Linked DNA regions of Diceros bicornis minor. The protein of the gene in region 2 purifies or fractionates together with the protein of the main gene of each other region. This does not show direct contact. Links are inferred from orthologs where the notes say so. Each region holds a gene or a part of one and is shown on either strand. Other genes may lie near its edges. The genes, in order: DNM2 and SNX33.

Region 1 (8,659 bases), on a different chromosome or scaffold from region 2:
GATTTTAACAACAGCAGCCACGGGTACAGAGTCCACGCCCCAGGAGGGTCTAGTTATCACCCCATTCTACAGAAAAGGAACCTGAGTCCACTTGGCCAAAGTCACAAAGCCAAACATGGAGCCGGTCCTTGGGCCCAGAGCCTGTGCTACACCACTAAATTCTAAAGATCTTTGGGTCTCTGCTAACACCGCAAAAATCCAGATTTTGACGCAAAATCTAATTTTTCAATGTTGGTAGCTAATTTTTTTTTTAAACACCATGCAGGTAAAACCAAAGACCCAGCAAGCAGGCCTGGGCTCCCGGGGCCACGGATCTGCAACCCGTGGTACAGGGCTGAGTGAAGAGGGCCATTCCCACTCAGACAACATTCTTAGAAAATCCACAAGGAGGGGGCAATGAACCGGAGCAGCCCGTGCTGGTCCCCAGGCACAGGCCCTTGACACGCACTCTCGTCTGCTCCCCGAAACCAGCAGGAGGTCCACAGCACAGGTCCACGATGCACGGCGTGGCCAAAGTCACAAAAAGAAGGAGGGGGATTCCACATGAGGCCCGCCTGCCGTCCCCTGTGGCAGGGCTTTGAGGCTGAGAGGCCTCATCCACATTCCAGAACTAAGAAGAAGTTAGCTCTGTGCACCCCATCCCCGAAGAGAGGCCTTTTCACAACTCTGGTTTTTGGGCCCTGAATTAATGTTCTGAATGACCGATGTCGCTTTGCAGGCTTCTGGAAGGAGGCTGCCACAGGAGGCAGCTCAGCAGTGGCCGGCAGTCGCCAGATGCCAGAGTGGGACGAAGAGAAAGGCCAGGGGCAGAGGGACCGAGGAGAGGTGGGGAGGGAAGGGAAACCCCGGGCCCCCAACCCCAGAGCCGCCAATTCCTCACTGAACAGCCCCAAGCAGCGTGCTCAGCTCTCTGAGCCTCAGTTTCCTGCTCTGTAAAACAGAAATCACAGCAGCGCCAGCCTCATAAGGCTTAAACCAAGTCCAGTGTGTTACCTGAGAGCACTTAATTCTAATTAGCTTTTGTTGTCGACATGAGAGGAAGCAGCCTGGTGAACACCGGCCCCGTCCATGTAGACCTACTATGTGCTAAGGAAGAACTTTCACTGCATCCTTGCAACAGTCTTGTTGAGGGATCGTCACCCCATTTTTAGGAGGGAAAACTGAGGCTCAGAGAGACCAAATAACCTGTGCAAGGTCAAAGGCAAATGAAATGGACAGCTTTACGGACGCCCACTGGAAGCCTGGGCAGGCAGGAAGATGGCCACGCACGCAGGGGCCCACAGCCCGGCCCGAGGATCAGCCCAGCCCCAGCTGACCCCAAGTCCACACCTTTCTGCCACAGTGGACAGAGGGCAGCTCGCCAGAGGTAAAGCAGCAGAGGAGGAGATTCGTGCCGCTGGGAGCAAAACTCCAGGCCTCTGGGAGGCAGAGGCGGGGTGCGTGCCCAGCTGGGCTCCACTGAGCGCCAGCCCGGTGGCCTTGGGCAAACGGCGAGTCCTTTCTGAGCCTCCCCGCTCATCTCTAAGGCGGGGATGACAGAAGCTCCACCCCACCCGCTGATGGTGGGAATCAAGATACCAAACCAAGAAAGAACTCAGCACTAGGCCTGCTGGATGAACGTGACCTCATAACACTGACAACAACAGTAATAATAACGATGAGACTGATGACTATGATGGTATCATGTGGCAGCCACGGTCACAAATGGAGTCCTTCCCAGAATGGAGAAGTGGCCGCCCATCTGGGAGGCAGAAGGGCAAGAGATGGGCGAAGGGAGAGGGGCGAAGGGAGAGGGGCGAACTAACCACCCTCGGTGGCCTCAGTGCCTGTTCTCATTCATTAGCTTCCTGAATCCTGGAAAACAGCCCAGAGAGTGGAATTTGCCCACTGGACAGATGCGCAAACTGAGGCTTCTCAGGGCTGCCCAGGGAAGGCTGTATTCCAGCTCTTGCCACTGAGGCCTGAGCAGGCAAGAAGTTCCTTCCTAGGCTCCAAGGAGGGCCTCCCAATTTGCAAGCTTTAGCCTGGAGGCTGGCCCCTGTGTTCTGGGGACCTGGAGCACCCTGACAGGGGCCAGGCAAGAATCCTGGAGAAAGTTCCACTGGGGTCCTACTTCCAACTGAGAAGGAAGGCGTTCAACATTCATCCTTCAGCTCCCTTCTCCTCTGCATGCTCCCACCACCCCCTGCCAGAGCTTGGGCCAGACAGTCGGGGGCCGCCAGGGCACCGACGGGCAGACCAGGAAAAGGACAGACACCAGGACAGACAGACAAAAGGATCCACTTGGAAGAGAGGAGACAGCGTTTGCCAGGAGCCAAGCTGAAAAGTGAGGCCAAGCGAGCCAGACAACAGGGCCCCTTAGGGTCCAGCCAGGCAGTCAGACGCCAGAGGCCAGCTGGGGTGACCCTACAGATGGATGGTTAAGCGTTAAAGTCTGTGAGGGGCACGGATGGGCAGGCAGACTGCACAGGTCACCCTGGACAGCTAGCCAGACAGCAGGGGGCTGCCCTGCGGGACTGGCCAGATGGACAGCCAAATGGTGGTGGCAGGGAGGCCTATCCAGGACGCAGTGAGGGCCAACCAGACGGCGAGGGCTGCTCCAGATAAATGAAAAGCCAGCCAGACGGCAGGGGTCGGCCCGATAGGTATCTAGCTGGCAGGTTGCGGATAGAGAGACGCAAAGAAGGCGGACCTACCCCGGACCCAGCGGCAACCAGATAGTAGATTTCACCCACTCAAGCTGGGGACCGGGGAGCCGGCGGGGGTCCACCGCGCCTCGGGGCCCACGCCCCCAGCCCGCGACACGGCCCCCGGCCCCCGCAGGGAGTCCTCCGCCCGGGGCGCCCGCAGGCCCGCCTCCCTGTCCCCGTCCCGCCGCGGGCACGCAAGCGCCGCAGTTACGCCGGCGGCGCACGGCGCGCCATTCCCGGTCCGCCCTCCGCGCCAGGCCGCCGCCCGCCGCCCGCCGCCGCCGCGCTCGCTCACCGGCCCACGAAGTTCTCGAGCACCGAGCTCTTGCCGGCGCTCTGGCCGCCCACCACGGCGATCTGCGGCAGGTCCAGGTGGCAGCTCTGGCCGATGGAGCTGAAGGCGTCCTGCAGCTTGTTGACCAGCGGGATCAGCTCCTCCATCCCCCGGTTGCCCATGGCGCCGGCGGCCCCCGGCCCGAGCGCCCCGCGCTCCCCGCCCGCCCCCGGCCCTCAACGACGCGGCCCCGCGGAGTCCGCGGCCGTTGCTCCCCGCACGCCCGGGCCTCGGCGCAACGCCCGCTCCCGGCTCGGCCTCACGGTCGCCGCCTCATCCGGTTCTCAGGCGACACCCGACCCGAGCGACCTCCCGCCCGGGCCCCGGGGCTGCGCCCAAAGCTCTTGCGCCGGCTCCGATTGGCCGGCCGGGCTGCCACTCGTGCACACGAGCCAATGAAAGCGAGGCACGGGCTTACGGGCGGGGAGTCTCCCCCGGGGGACCTTCTCGCGGGCTGATTGGACGCAAGAGCTGTCGCTGTTGTGCAAGAGCCAATAGCGGCGGGAAGCGAGTTGTCAAGGCCAGGGGGCGGTGTTTCGGGAAAAGGCATATTGGTGCCGCCTATTAGGGAGGGATTCCCGATGGCAGGAAAATCCGCCAGTCTTATTGGCAGGAAGACCCGCCAGTCAACAAAGCTGGCCAATGATATTAGGGATCGATCCTTAGACACTGGTTTGTCACTTGACGCTACCTAGTTCCCTAAAAACTTCCTATTGGTTTATATAACTATCACTCCGTTCCATCAGCCAACAAAACGAAAGAGGGCGGGCTTTAACCTCTGAACCCTGACTCTGATTGATCACTGCATTTGTCAATCAAAAAATCTCCCGTTTTGACTTGGGATTGTTGTATGTCTATTGGAGAGGCTTCTGGAGTACAGGGTAAAGCCCACCTTACTCGCCTAAGGACGCCACCTCGTGGTGGGACCCGGTGGTGATCTTCATGTGTGAGTTTCCGGGCTCGAGAGAAAACTACAAGTCCCAGAATGCATCTCGGCCCCGGGCTCGCAAACCAGCTCTCCGCGCGGGGTCCCAACGCGCTTTGAAGGTGAGAATCAGGCGATGTGAGTCGTTCTTAGGGAGAGGCGGTCTAGCACTGCATCGCTGGCCCCCACTTTCATTCCTATAAAGTCACGCCTCTAAGCCTTTGCAAATGCTGTGCTCTCTCCTAGGAATACTTTCCGCTCACGCCCCGTCTTGCTGCGGCTAACGCTCCAACGTTGTTCTCCTGCCTCTTCAACTTGAGCGCATCTTGGATCTTTTGGAGTGCCCGGTGAAACTCAACGATCCTCTCCCCAGGTAAAGACACCTTATTTTGCAGGCAACAGTTGGGGGTTGTGGGAACCGAAACCATTAACCTCTTAGAAAAGAGGCCGGGGATATGTGGAAGGATTTTAAGAAAAGTGATTTGATCCCTTGGGGAACAGATGGGCCTGCTCCCTGACCCATAACCCCAGGTCTCAGAGAAATGGGCAACAAGACGACCAACAAGTTTTGGCAATGCGGCCTTGACCACAATCACAGAAACCTGGAAACACCCTAACTGCCCATCCATGGAGCTCATAAATACTATGCAACAGCTGTAAAAAAGATTGAGTTAGTCTTCATGTACTGATGTGTAAATAATCTGAGATATAACAAAAGAAAGAAAAAAAATAGCAAGGGACAGAACTGCGTGTAAAGGACGCTGACATTCATGAAAAAAATATATATACACATGGAAAATTTTTTTGTTTTTTTGTGTGTAATATCAGCCCTGAGCTAACGTCCGATGCCAATCCTCCTCTTTTTGCTGAGGAAGACCGGCCCTGGGCTAACATCCGTGCCCATCTTCCTCCACTTTATATGGGATACCGCCACAGCATGGCTTGACAAGTGGTACGTTGGCACATGCCCGGGATCCGAACCTGTGAAACCCGGGCCGCCGAAGCAGAGCGCCTGCACTTAAATTAACCGCTGCGCCACTGGGCTGGCCCCACATGGAAAATTTCTGGAAGAATACCCAAACTGATCAAAGCAGTTGCATTTTTATGCTATTTGAATTGTGGATCCTACATCCTATTACTGTTCAATTAAAAAAACCTTATCTTCTAAGAGTACCCCGTCTGTAATTGGCCATATCTGGGTTAGATCCTGGGCCTGTTGTGCTGGGTGATAATGACCAAGTGACCTCATTCCTCTGAACCTCAGTTTCCTCATCTGTAAAATGGGGAATGTAGCTACCTATGCATCAGAAGGTTTCAAGAATTAAATGCACGTGACAGCTGTTTAGAACAGTGCATCACACCCACTGTCGTCATGACTGTGTGTACTGACAGCGAGATGAAGCCACATGTCCCAAGAGTCAAGGCTAAGAGCATGAGATCCGGAGCCAGGCCTCTACTCCTTCCATGGTGACCTTGGGCAAGCTACTTCCCCTCTCTGGGCCTGCTTCCTCGCCTCTAAAAAGGAGGAGGACACGAGTGTCCACCCCAGCGTGGCTGGGGCCTGAGCCACAGGGTCAACCATGTGGCTCCCACTCTGGGGCACTTCCTACATGCTGGGCTGTGCCAGGTGGTTCCCGGATACCAGCTGCTGCTATGGTTACTGGTAATTTATCAATGGTGCGGGGGAGGGACATCAGCCTCAGTGACACTCAGACCAGGAAGGGGACCAAGACAGGCCACCTCCCCAAGAAGGCACAGACACTAAGTTATAATAAAAAACCCAAATCCTTCAATATCTTCCCTCCCCTTCCCCCGCCCTCCCCCAAGCCGGGTCAAGCCAGTGTGATGCCCACAGAGGCCAGGGCTTCGGTGGCCCAGGCGGGACAGAGGGTGGGGTCCCCGTACATGGTGCCCATGAAGTTGCGCACGAAGTCGGGGAAGCGCTTCTCCACGATGCTGGCGCGCACGGCGCTCATCAGCTGCAGCTGCGGGGCAGGGTGGAGGTGTCAGCGTCAGCCCCCGCGCCCGGGAGACCCCGGCCACCCCCCGGCCTGGCCCGCCCGGCCACCAGCCCACCTGGTAGGCGATGTTGTGGACAGTGAGGTGGTGCAGGGCGGCGGTGTTGTCGCTGTGGAGCAGTGCGTGCAGGAAGGCCCGGCTGTGCCTGGGGGCAGATCGGGGCTCAGCAGCGCGAGGGTCCAGCCCCGCTCCGCGCCCTGCCCCGCCCCCAGTCCCCAGCCCCCTACATCTGGCACGTGGGACAGGCGCACTCGGGGTCTATGGGGCGGAAGTCCCTCTCATACTGTTTCTTCTTCAGCTGCAGGTTCCCCGTGGGCACCAGCGCGGAGCCGAAGCGCTGCGGGAGGAGAGGGGGACGGGAAGGCGGGTCCAGGGGTCTTCACCCGCCCCGGCCCCGCCCCCACCTTGGCACTCCCCCCAGTCCCCGCCCCTGTCTGCCCCCTGCCCAGGGCCTCACCGCCGTCCGCGTGGGGAAGACGCAGTCGAACATGTCGCATCCGAGAGCCACGCAGACCACCAGATCGGTGGCATAGCTGGGGGTGGGACCGTGGGGGGGCGCAGAGAACCTCAAGCCCGGGTCACACACTCAGAGCCCCCTCCCACCCTCAGACTCCCCGGGGACCGGGCTGCATTCCCTCAGAACCGCCCTCAGGGGAGGGCCATGTCCCCCTCAGTCCCCTCCCAGGCAGGGCTGCATCCTCCCGCCCCAACCCCGGGGGGCAGGGGTCCCCAGCTATCCGCTCCCCACAGGTGAGGCTGTCGCCCCTCCTCTCCACATACCCGACCCCCATCAGGTATCGGGGCTTATCCTTAGGCAGCCTCGACGTGCTCAGCGCGACCATCCTCCAGAACTGGTTCTTGCTCTCGCCCCCGCTCAGGCCCCCGATGGCGAAGCCGGGCACGTCCCTCTTGGTCATCTCTGGGGTCCGGGGCAAGGGGAGGGGGACCAGGCAGAGGGAAATGCATTGCCGCCACCACTGCCTCCTCCCTCCTCCCCGCCCCCTCCTCCTGGCCCATGGGTGGACCCTGCCCAGTCCTCCACAGGCCCCTCAGAAAGAGAGAATATGAGTGTGCACGTAAGTGTGTGTATTTGAGTGTGTGTGTCTAGGGTGCTGCCAGCAGATGAACTGCAAATTCCTGAGCAATCTGGATTTTAGAAGTGGGAGATTAGGGCCGGCCTGGTGGCTTGGCGGTTAAGTGCGCGCGCTCCGCTGCTGGCGGCCCGGGTTCGGATCCCGGGCGCGCACCGACGCGCCGCTTCTCCGGCCATGCTGAGGCCGGGTCCCACATACAGCGACTAGGAGGATGTGCAGCTATGACAGACAGCTATCTACTGGGGCGTTGGGGGAAAAATAAATAAATAAAATCTTTAAAAAAAAAAAAGAAGTGGGAGATTAGGCTTCAGAATGACAGAGAAGGGGCTGCAGATCGCACCACTGTCGCGCATGCGCAGCTTAAACCACTAGCCTGGGGCCCCATGTGGCAGAGGCAGGATTCGAACCGGGGTCTCTGGCCCCAGCTTCCCAGTTCAACCAGGGGAGGCCACAGCCCCGACCAAGCAGGCCCGGTCTGGGGCCAGGTTTTAAAGCTGGAGTGAGCAGCAGAATCGACGGGGGACGGGTTGTTCAAATGCCGCTTCCCAGGTCCCCCCTCGCCCCCTGTCTGATCCAGTCCTGGGGGACGACAGCCCAGGGGGTTCTGTGCAGCTGGGCCTCGGAGGACTTTGAGAAGTGCCACCAGGGCGGTGCTTGACAGACTGCAGGTGGCCGAGAAATGAATTAATGGGGCAAGACAGGGCGGTTGGTTTTTTTAAATGAAAGCAAACAGAGGGGCCGGCCAGTGCCGTCGTGGTTGAGTCTACACGCACCACTTGGGCGGCCTGGGGTTCGCAGCTTCAGATCCCGGGCACAGACCTACCCACCGCTCATTAAGCCATGCTGGGGCGGCATCCCGCATATAAAGTGGAGGAAGATGGGCACAGATGTTAGCCCAGGGCCAGTCTTCCTCAGCAAAAAGAGGAGGATTGGCGTCAGATGTTAGCTCAGGGCTGATCTTCCTCACAAAAAAAATAAAATAAAAAAGAAAGAAAACAGAAGATACCAGAAAGCCTCTCACATATAAGGTAATACTTCACAAAAGGTTTCTGCTTTCATATACAGCCACGCGTACTAAGCAGGACATGAAGTATATCTCTGACTGTGGGACTCCGTTAAAAAGACTGGACTGGAGACCTGGGGGTGGGGGGCCCAGTGTGAGGACAAAGAGGAATTTCAACGACAATTTTCACAACAGCACACACCGGTGGGTGCCAGGTGGGACACTTTGAACAGAGTTCCCCAATTATTCCTCACTTTGTCCCCACGACACTGGGAGTATGTTCCCATTTTACAGAGGAAGAAAGTGAGGCTCAGAGAGGCCAAGCCACTAGCCCAAGGGTGCACAGCCATGAGGCAGCAGATCAGGGATTTGGATCCAGCCCAAAAGACCCCAGAACCCACAGTCTTCCCATGACACCTCACTGCCTTTGAGCCCCCATCTCTGCCTCCCTTTTGTCTCCACGGCCATGGCCTTGGTTCAAGTCTCAGTGTCACCATTCTGCTGGGCAATGACTCCAGCCTCCTGATGGGCCTTCTGCTTCCTGTCCTCTTGGGATTTTTCTATGATGCCCCTTAGTTCCTGTCACTATCCCAC
Region 2 (7,680 bases):
GACTCAGTAAGGGTCTCCTGCCTGCACTGAGTCTTACCTTTCTGCAGGTGGATGATGTCGGGGAAGTTGGAGAGCAGGCCCTGGTAGAGAGACAGTGTGTCAAGCATCTGGAAGAGGTCGTTCTTGGGCTGCTCAGCGAACATCTCACCCACGGCTTCATAGGTACGGCCCGTGTGAGAAATGGCGCTGTTGAGGGCTTCAGAGCTAAAGGGGGGATCCATCTGGAAGGAATGACTGATGGCCTGGAAGGCACTGCCGAGCTTCTGGAATTCCTTGCGGAAGCCCCCCACATGCTTGCGCACCAGCTCCGATGCTACAGTGCTGAGCTGCAGGACGCTGTCATCCATCTTCTTGCTGAAGGCCTTGAAGGTATCCACACGGTCCTCCACATCCTGCAGGTCCTGGTGCTCTGTGGGGATCTGGAAGGTGAGCAGGAAGCTGGCACCCACCATCTCGTCCTTCTCTGCCCGGCGTTTGCCCATCTTCCACTGCTTGTCATCCAAGCAGCTGAGGAAATGCTGGAAGCCCTCATACTGGGACAGCACAGGGTGGCTGGTCATGTGGTCCATCCAGAGGATGAGCCGCCGCTTCCGCTTCTCAATGAAGTCCTCCTCGAAGCGGCCTGTGGCCTGCTTCTCTGGCAGGTGGGGCACTGAGATGACAGTGAACTTGTGCAGCAGGCGGTTGTAGAGCCAGTCAAAGTGTTTGTAGCGCCGGTAGACAGGTGAGCCAGCGTGGGTGGGCGTGAGCTTGTAGGAGATATAGCTTTTGATGCCCTTGAATTTGGTCTGTTTGGTGGGGTCTTCCACGGAGCAGGCAAATGGGTGGGGGTTGGCCTTCCACTGGGGGCCACGAGGGCCCATTTCAATGGAGTATGTCTCAGCAATCTTGGCCATCATGGGCACATCACCCAGGATGAAGGCCTCCACTCCAGAGCGCACGAAGCACGAGAAACGGTTAAGATTGCGCCCCACCACACTGCCTCGCTTGGCAGATGCCAGGCTGTCCTGCCGCTCCAGAGGTGGCTTTGGCCGGAAGGCCATGTGCTGGCTGGGGTAGGCACCAGGGTAGGAGAGGTTGAGTGGTGGGTGCCCATTGGTGCCCAGCCCACCAGCCCGTGGCTCCTCCACCACTGTGCATCCATCGTCCCAGTCATCCCAGTCATCATCATCGTCCTCCTCGAAGCTGCCTGGGTTTGAGAGGAAGCCACTGCCCCCACCACTCCTGGAAGGGTTGGCCACACTGGAGCTGTCATACAAGCTCACCTGGGTGCCCAGAGAGCCTGCAGGGCTGCCGGAATAGTCAGCATGGTTGGAGCTGGTGCCAGAACGGATGATCTCCACGTAAGAGGCGGGGAAGAGCCCTGTCTCACCACGGCTGTTCTGACCCTGCAGCCAGCCATCCAGCGAGGTCTCACTGAAGATGACAAGGTCCTCATCCTGCTGGATGCTGATTTCCTCCTTGTTCTCACTGCGGAAGTCATAGAGGGCTCGGCCTTTCAGTGCCATGGCTGGGCCAGTGGTAGAGAAAGATGAGGAGAGGGTCCTGCCCAGAACTGGGGACACTCACTACGGTGTCCAAGAATGCACTAGCGACTCAAGGCCTGCCACAGCAACTCAGTCTCTCAGCCCCTTAGGCAGGGTCTCTGCACCCACAGATGCTGTCCAGCCTTCCTCTCTTCAAAACAATGTCCATGGCCCAGAAACTGCCCTTTCTGGTCTCCCAGCACACACATGTGAGCAGGGAGGGCTCATGTCCATAGTCTTTCTCCCTTCCCTTGGCAGCTCCTGAGGGGGATGTCTCTCTTTCTCCCACTCCCAGAAGAAAAGTCAAGTGACTGGGAGAAACCAGCTCAGAGAGGGCAAGAATTCACCACTCTCCACTGGAACAATGTTCTAAAATAGAAGAGAATCGCTCAGAAACCACCGTTCCAGAAATCCCGGCAGCTCTGGCTCCCAGCTCCTTCTGTCTCCTCAGGCCTTGGGAGGCTCTCACATTCCTCTGCAGATCTGCCCCTTCCTCCTTCCTCCTCCTCCTCTTGGGCCACTGGGTTTTCAGAAATCCAGAAAATCCAAGAGGGGCAAGGAGAAAAGCAGCAGCCTCCTGAATCGAGTCCAAGGGTGGATGTGTCCGGCTTCACAACAAGCCAGGCAGGGAAAACAAGGACTGAGGCTTACACAACAGGCCGCCAACTCTTCAACCCCGGCGGCCCAGCCCGGCCCCCAGCCGGCTGGGGCGCCCTCTCCCCGCCCCTCAAGTGGCCAGCCCCCACCTCTGAGACGGAGAGGGCGCGACGAGGCGCTCAGGCGACTTCTGGTCACTAGCTGCGTGGCCTCTTTTGTTTGCCTAATTCCCCAGCAGTCTCTGAGCCTGAAGCTGACCCTGATCGCAGTCCAAGGACCCCCGCCCAAAAGTAAACCCCGCAGCAACCGGTCCCGGCGCGCTAGACAAGCAGACCCCCACCCCTCGCGCGCACGCACACACTCAACAGGAGTTTGGAGAGTGAGCTCCCGCGAGCTGATGGCGCACCCGGCCGTCTGTCCTTCCGTCCTCCTCTCGGCCCCGCGGGGTCCAGCCGGTGGACGGCGAGCTGAGCCCCCAGCCCGCCTTCAACTCCAGCACTAGCAGTCCCTCTGCGCAGCCAGCGATAAACCAGCTCCAAAACAAAAAAAGGCGATTCCGGGAGGTGGCGTCCCGAGGAAGGAGGGAATAGCTGAGGGGGGACGTGAGGGGTGGAGAGAGAGAGGGAGGGAGGAAAAGCAGGCTGGGGAATTGGGCAAACTCCACAGCACTTCCGTGCGTCCGGGCTGGGCAGGGACGGCCCGGCTCCGCCCTCCCGCGGGCCTGGGGCGCTGGAGCCGGGGCTCCCGCCTCCTCCTCGCTTCTCTCCTGGCCGTCGCCCTCACTCGCTCGCGCTGAGATCGGAATGCGAGAGGGAGGAGACGACCCGGGAAGTAGGGGCCCGCGGGCCTCCGGGACCAGTCCCTAGGGCGGCCGCACTCCCGAGCCCGTCCGGCCTCGCAGTGAGACGTCTCTCGCCCCGCCGGGCTTGAGAGCCGCGCGGGGGAGCTCGCCAGCCGCCGCCGCCTAGCCTCCTGGACTCTGTCACTCTCCTGCCTTTTCCGTGACGCAAGTGGAGGAAAACTCGAAAGTTTGCAAAGTGTGGGGCTACCAGGAGGGCTCCAGAGCCGGGACCCGGGGGGGAAGGGATTGAGGAAGGGTGCGTGGAGAGCCGCGGACGCCCCCCTACCCGTCCCCTTCTCCCCGCCCCCGCCCCCAGCGTGGCGCAGCCCCGGAATTGTTCGCTGGAGGGGGCCCCAGAGCCAGCTGCGCCCTCACCAGAAGAAGCCTGAGCGACCTGGGATACTGGCCTCTTCAGGTCCTAATACCCTGACCAGACAGGGCCAGGAGCACTCCTGCCCTGGGCGACTTCCTTCAGGGGGAAGGACAAGACCCTATATCTGTAGCGGCAGGGAGCAAGCTCAGGCACGATCCAGTTCCATGTTGCTTTGTGCGGCTGGGAAGACTGGAAGTTCTGTCTTCGCCAGCAGCAGCGAGGAGAAAGGGGTGGTTGGGGTAGGCTTCCGAGAGGAGGCGAAGGGGATTTGACCCTTAGTCAGCCCATCCGGAACACTGGGCGTTAACTTTGGCAGGCACTGTGCTGGGCACTGGGGATTACTGCACAACAAGGCAGTCCGGGTTCCTGCCCTGGAGAGTTTACAATCCGCCCTCTTGTCCTTAATTCATCCGTTGTCTCCGTCTTATTCATTAAATCATGCACTCAAGGAAACATTAACTGAGTAACTATTCCGTACCAGGCCCCCTGGGCTACAAACACAAATAAGACATTATCCTTCCAGCAGCTCAGATGTGTTGACAAGTAAACAGATGCTCCCTGCTCAGTGTGACCAATGCCAGGAAATGAGAGTGGGAGAGCACCTATCCCAGCCTGGGTGGAGCAAGGATGAAGGAAGGCTTCCTGGAGGAGGTGCCTAAGGTGAGGCAAAGGTTTCAGCCCCTACTCTCCTTCCCGGCTGTGCCCTGGCACCTTGCCTACCTACCCCCTCTAACCAGAACTTCCTTCCGTCTCATTCTCACTCTTCCCACTTGTTGCAGATGAACTGGCACAAAGTAGTGCTGCTAAAGGTGTGCACCTTTGGCTGTACTGAGGGGTATGATCTGCAGGCCTCTGGCTACAAACCCAGTTTCATGAGTGCAGTGAGTAGATCCAGTTCCCTATGCAGGGCTGGCATTTGACCAGAATAAAGGCTTATGTAGTACAAACCTCAGAAGCCCAGGTATTAATTTGCACAGAGAAATACAACTGTCAGGCAGCCCTGAATTTTTGCATCAATAGCCCAAGGCAGTTTGGGCTGCTTCTTGAGAAGCCCAGTTACCGGAAGGTTAGCCCCATGAACTTGGAACCCCCAGGATGGGAAGAGGGGATGGTATGACAAGTCTCTCAGCCAAGAAACCTTGAGATCTTGTCCCCTGCCACAGGGGCAGCCTTGATCCTAAGGACTCAGTTCAGCCTAGTATCTCCACGGCCAGAGCCAGTATATATGTTTCCCCCAGATGCTTTTGGGACACTCCTTTTCTATGATCTCTCTTCTGTTCACCTAGCCTCTCGCCAGGCTGGGTTTGACAATAGCAACTAGTTTAGTGCTTGCTGAGTGCTAGACACTGTTGTAACCATTTTACCTTTATTGGCTCACTTAATACAGTTGATGGGATTTCTGCTCACCCAACTAGGGTCCTAGTCCAGCCCCGCCCCCCTAAAATGTTCCCAGCCACCACCTTGATGGCCTTTAGTTGTTTCCCAAACACTTCAGTCACACATTTACAGATCAACCATCTTGGATTTACTCCCACATCTATTCTGGGTGGGTTTTTCTCTCAGGGGCCACCCTTATTTACAGGTTCTTGGCGGAAACTCACTCTTCAGCCTCACAGAAATTTCCAGAACCCGTATCTTTCATTCCCTCCCTTCCAGGGACCCTCTTAAAGCCTAGGGGTAACAGAACCCCTGGTCGCTAGTCTCAGAAAATTGCACTAACCTTTGTGGTTTTCCTACACTCTGCCCATTTCTTTGGAAAAAGTCCCTTTGTTAAATTATCCTCACATTATTCTAATTGGAGTGTGGTCTCTTTCCTGCTGGGACCCTGATTTGTGCACAGGAAACAGCATCCATCCCCCATCCAGGCATCTACCTTTCCTCCTTTAGGAAGGAAGTCAGCAAGGGAGAACCGTGGCCAGTGGCTTCCCGGCTGGTGGCAGCATAGAGGACACACTGGACTATTACTGTAGTAATGCAGACAAGAGATAATGAGGGCCTGAGGTAGCGGAGGGGTAATGGGCTAGGGAGTAGTAACTCTGGGAGTTTATGGAGGTAGAATTGACAGAAATGGCAACCAACAAGATGTAGGTATTGAGGAAAAAGTCAATTCACATCTCGAAAGAATAGATTCTCGACTCCACTTCCCCCACCCTCATTTCTACTACTGCCTCATTTCTCTGCCTGCCTTTGCAGCAAAATTCCTCAAAACAGCCATCTCTGCTAGCTATGTACAATTTCTTTCCCCCCTTCTCTTCTTAAACGCCTCTAGCCAGTCTTCCACCCTCACATTCCACTGAAACTATTCTTGTCAAGGTCATCAGTGACCTGTTATTCTCCGTCCTCCTCTTACTCAACCTCTCAGCAGCATTTGACCAGGTTGATCACCCCTTCCCCCGGATACACTTTCTTCACTTGCACTGGGGAGACCGTAATCTCCTGGTCCCCCCTCTACCTCGCTGGTTCATCCTCTTCTCTCCAATAATTCTTAACACTAGAGTGACTACAGGAGAGTGATCCTCTTGTCTTTTCTATCCATATTCACTCCTTCGATGATCTCACCCAGGCTCATGGCTTCAAACACCATCTATCTGCCAATAACGCCTTTTTTTTTTTTTTTTTAATCTCCAGCCTAATTTCCCTAAAATTCCAGACTCCCATATCTTTCTCCTTGACATCTCCCCTTGGGTGTCTAATAGACATCTCCAACCCAACATGTGCGAAATTGAATTTATGATCTTGCCCCCCAAACTTGTTCTACTTGGTAGCCTTCCCAATCTCAGGTGATGAGTACTTTCTTCCACTTGCTTGGGCCAAAACCTGGAGCCATCCCTGACTCTTCTCATCATCCTGGGACTCCTCTCTCACTGGCATCTCACTACTGCTCTCCTGGTCCCAGAAACCATCTTTCTCACCTGAATCACTGCAACAGCTTCCTAATGGTCTGTGTTTCCACTCCTGCCTCCTGACAGTCTCTTTTCAACACAGCAGTTAGAGTTATCCTTTTAAAACATAAGTTAGGGGTCTGGCCCAGTGGCGTAGTACTTAAGTTCGTGTGCTCTGCTTCAGTGACCCGGGGTTCATGGGTTCGGATCCCAGGCACGGACATATGCACTGCTCATCAAGCCATGCTGTGGCAGTGTCCCATATATAAAGTAGAGGAAGATGGGCACGGAGGGTAGCTCAGCAACAATCTTCCTCAAGCAAAAAGAGGAGGATTGGCAACAGATGTTAACTCAGGGCCAATCTTCCTCACCAAAAAAAATAATAAAAATAAAAAATAAATAAAATAAAACTTAAGTTAGATGTCAGTCCTCTGCTCAAAACCCTTCAGTGTCCTCATCTCACTCACAAAAAAAGCCAAAGTCCTTATTACCTGGGCCTATGAGCCTCTGTTATCTGAGCATCCTTTCCTCCCCTCCTAGCCCACTCTGCTCCAGGCAAGATGGCTTTGTTACTCCTCTTCTGAGACGTCAGGCACATTCCTGTCTTAAGGCATTTGCACCATGTCCTCTTCCTGAAATGTTCTTCCCCCAGATACCCACATGGCTAAACCCCTATAAAATATCACCTTCTCAATAAGACCTATCCTGACATGCCCTATTTAAAATTACAGCCCTGGGGCCGGCCCCGTGGCTTAGCAGTTAAGTGCGGTTAAGTGCGCGCTCCGCTGCTCGTGGCCCAGGTTCGGATACCGGGCGCACACCGACGCGCCGCTTCTCCAGCCATGCTGAGGCCGCGTCTCACGTACAGCAACTAGAAGGATGTTCATCTATGACATACAACTATCTACTGGGGCTTTGGAGGAAAAAAATAAATTAATTTAAAAAATTAATAAAATAAAATAAAATTACAGCCCATCCTCTCCCCAAGCTCTCCTATATCCTGCTGTTTTGATTCATAACACTTATCACCTGCTAACATGTATAATTCACTTTATTATGTTTATCGTCTGGGGAGAAGGAAGTTAACCAAGAGTCCTGCTGCAGACATGTTGAGCAAGGGCTGAAGATGGAAGAGAGTGAGACTGGGGGAATAAGAAGGGTGGGGATGAAGTGCAAACTAGGGGAAGATACCTGTACCATATATAACTGGTTAAGGATTAATACCCAGAATATATAAAGATTCTTCTGTGGGGCTGGCCCTGTGGCATAGCCATTATGTTCCTGTGTTCCGCTTTGGCGGCCCAGCGCTTGCCGGTTCAGATCCTGGTTGCAGACCTACTCACCACTCAGCTCATCAAGCCATGCTGAGGTGGCTTCCCATATAGAAGAACTATAACTCTACAACTATGATACACAACTATGTATGGGGCTTGGGGAGGGAAAAAAAAAAGAAAAAGAGGA

Evidence for each region.
Region 1: the proteins of SNX33 (region 2) and DNM2 purify together in Homo sapiens (co-immunoprecipitation; 3 studies listed by BioGRID and IntAct, with this or other methods). This does not show direct contact. The link is inferred for Diceros bicornis minor from reciprocal best matches to the Homo sapiens genes SNX33 and DNM2.

What each region holds. Positions count from the first base shown.
Region 1 is NC_080769.1:8,596,200-8,604,858, forward strand, and holds the start of DNM2 (dynamin-2), read right to left. Parts: upstream 3,179-8,659; 5' UTR 3,147-3,178; coding exon 2,986-3,146; intron 1-2,985. Other genes in the region: QTRT1 (queuine tRNA-ribosyltransferase catalytic subunit 1), read right to left, coding at 5,782-5,934, 6,026-6,113, 6,196-6,305, 6,426-6,501, 6,749-6,887. UniProt on the Homo sapiens protein: Catalyzes the hydrolysis of GTP and utilizes this energy to mediate vesicle scission at plasma membrane during endocytosis and filament remodeling at many actin structures during organization of the actin cytoskeleton.
Region 2 is NC_080744.1:68,343,015-68,350,694, reverse strand, and holds the start of SNX33 (sorting nexin-33), read right to left. Parts: upstream 3,197-7,680; 5' UTR 1,509-3,196; coding exon 38-1,508; intron 1-37. UniProt on the Homo sapiens protein: Plays a role in the reorganization of the cytoskeleton, endocytosis and cellular vesicle trafficking via its interactions with membranes, WASL, DNM1 and DNM2. Acts both during interphase and at the end of mitotic cell divisions.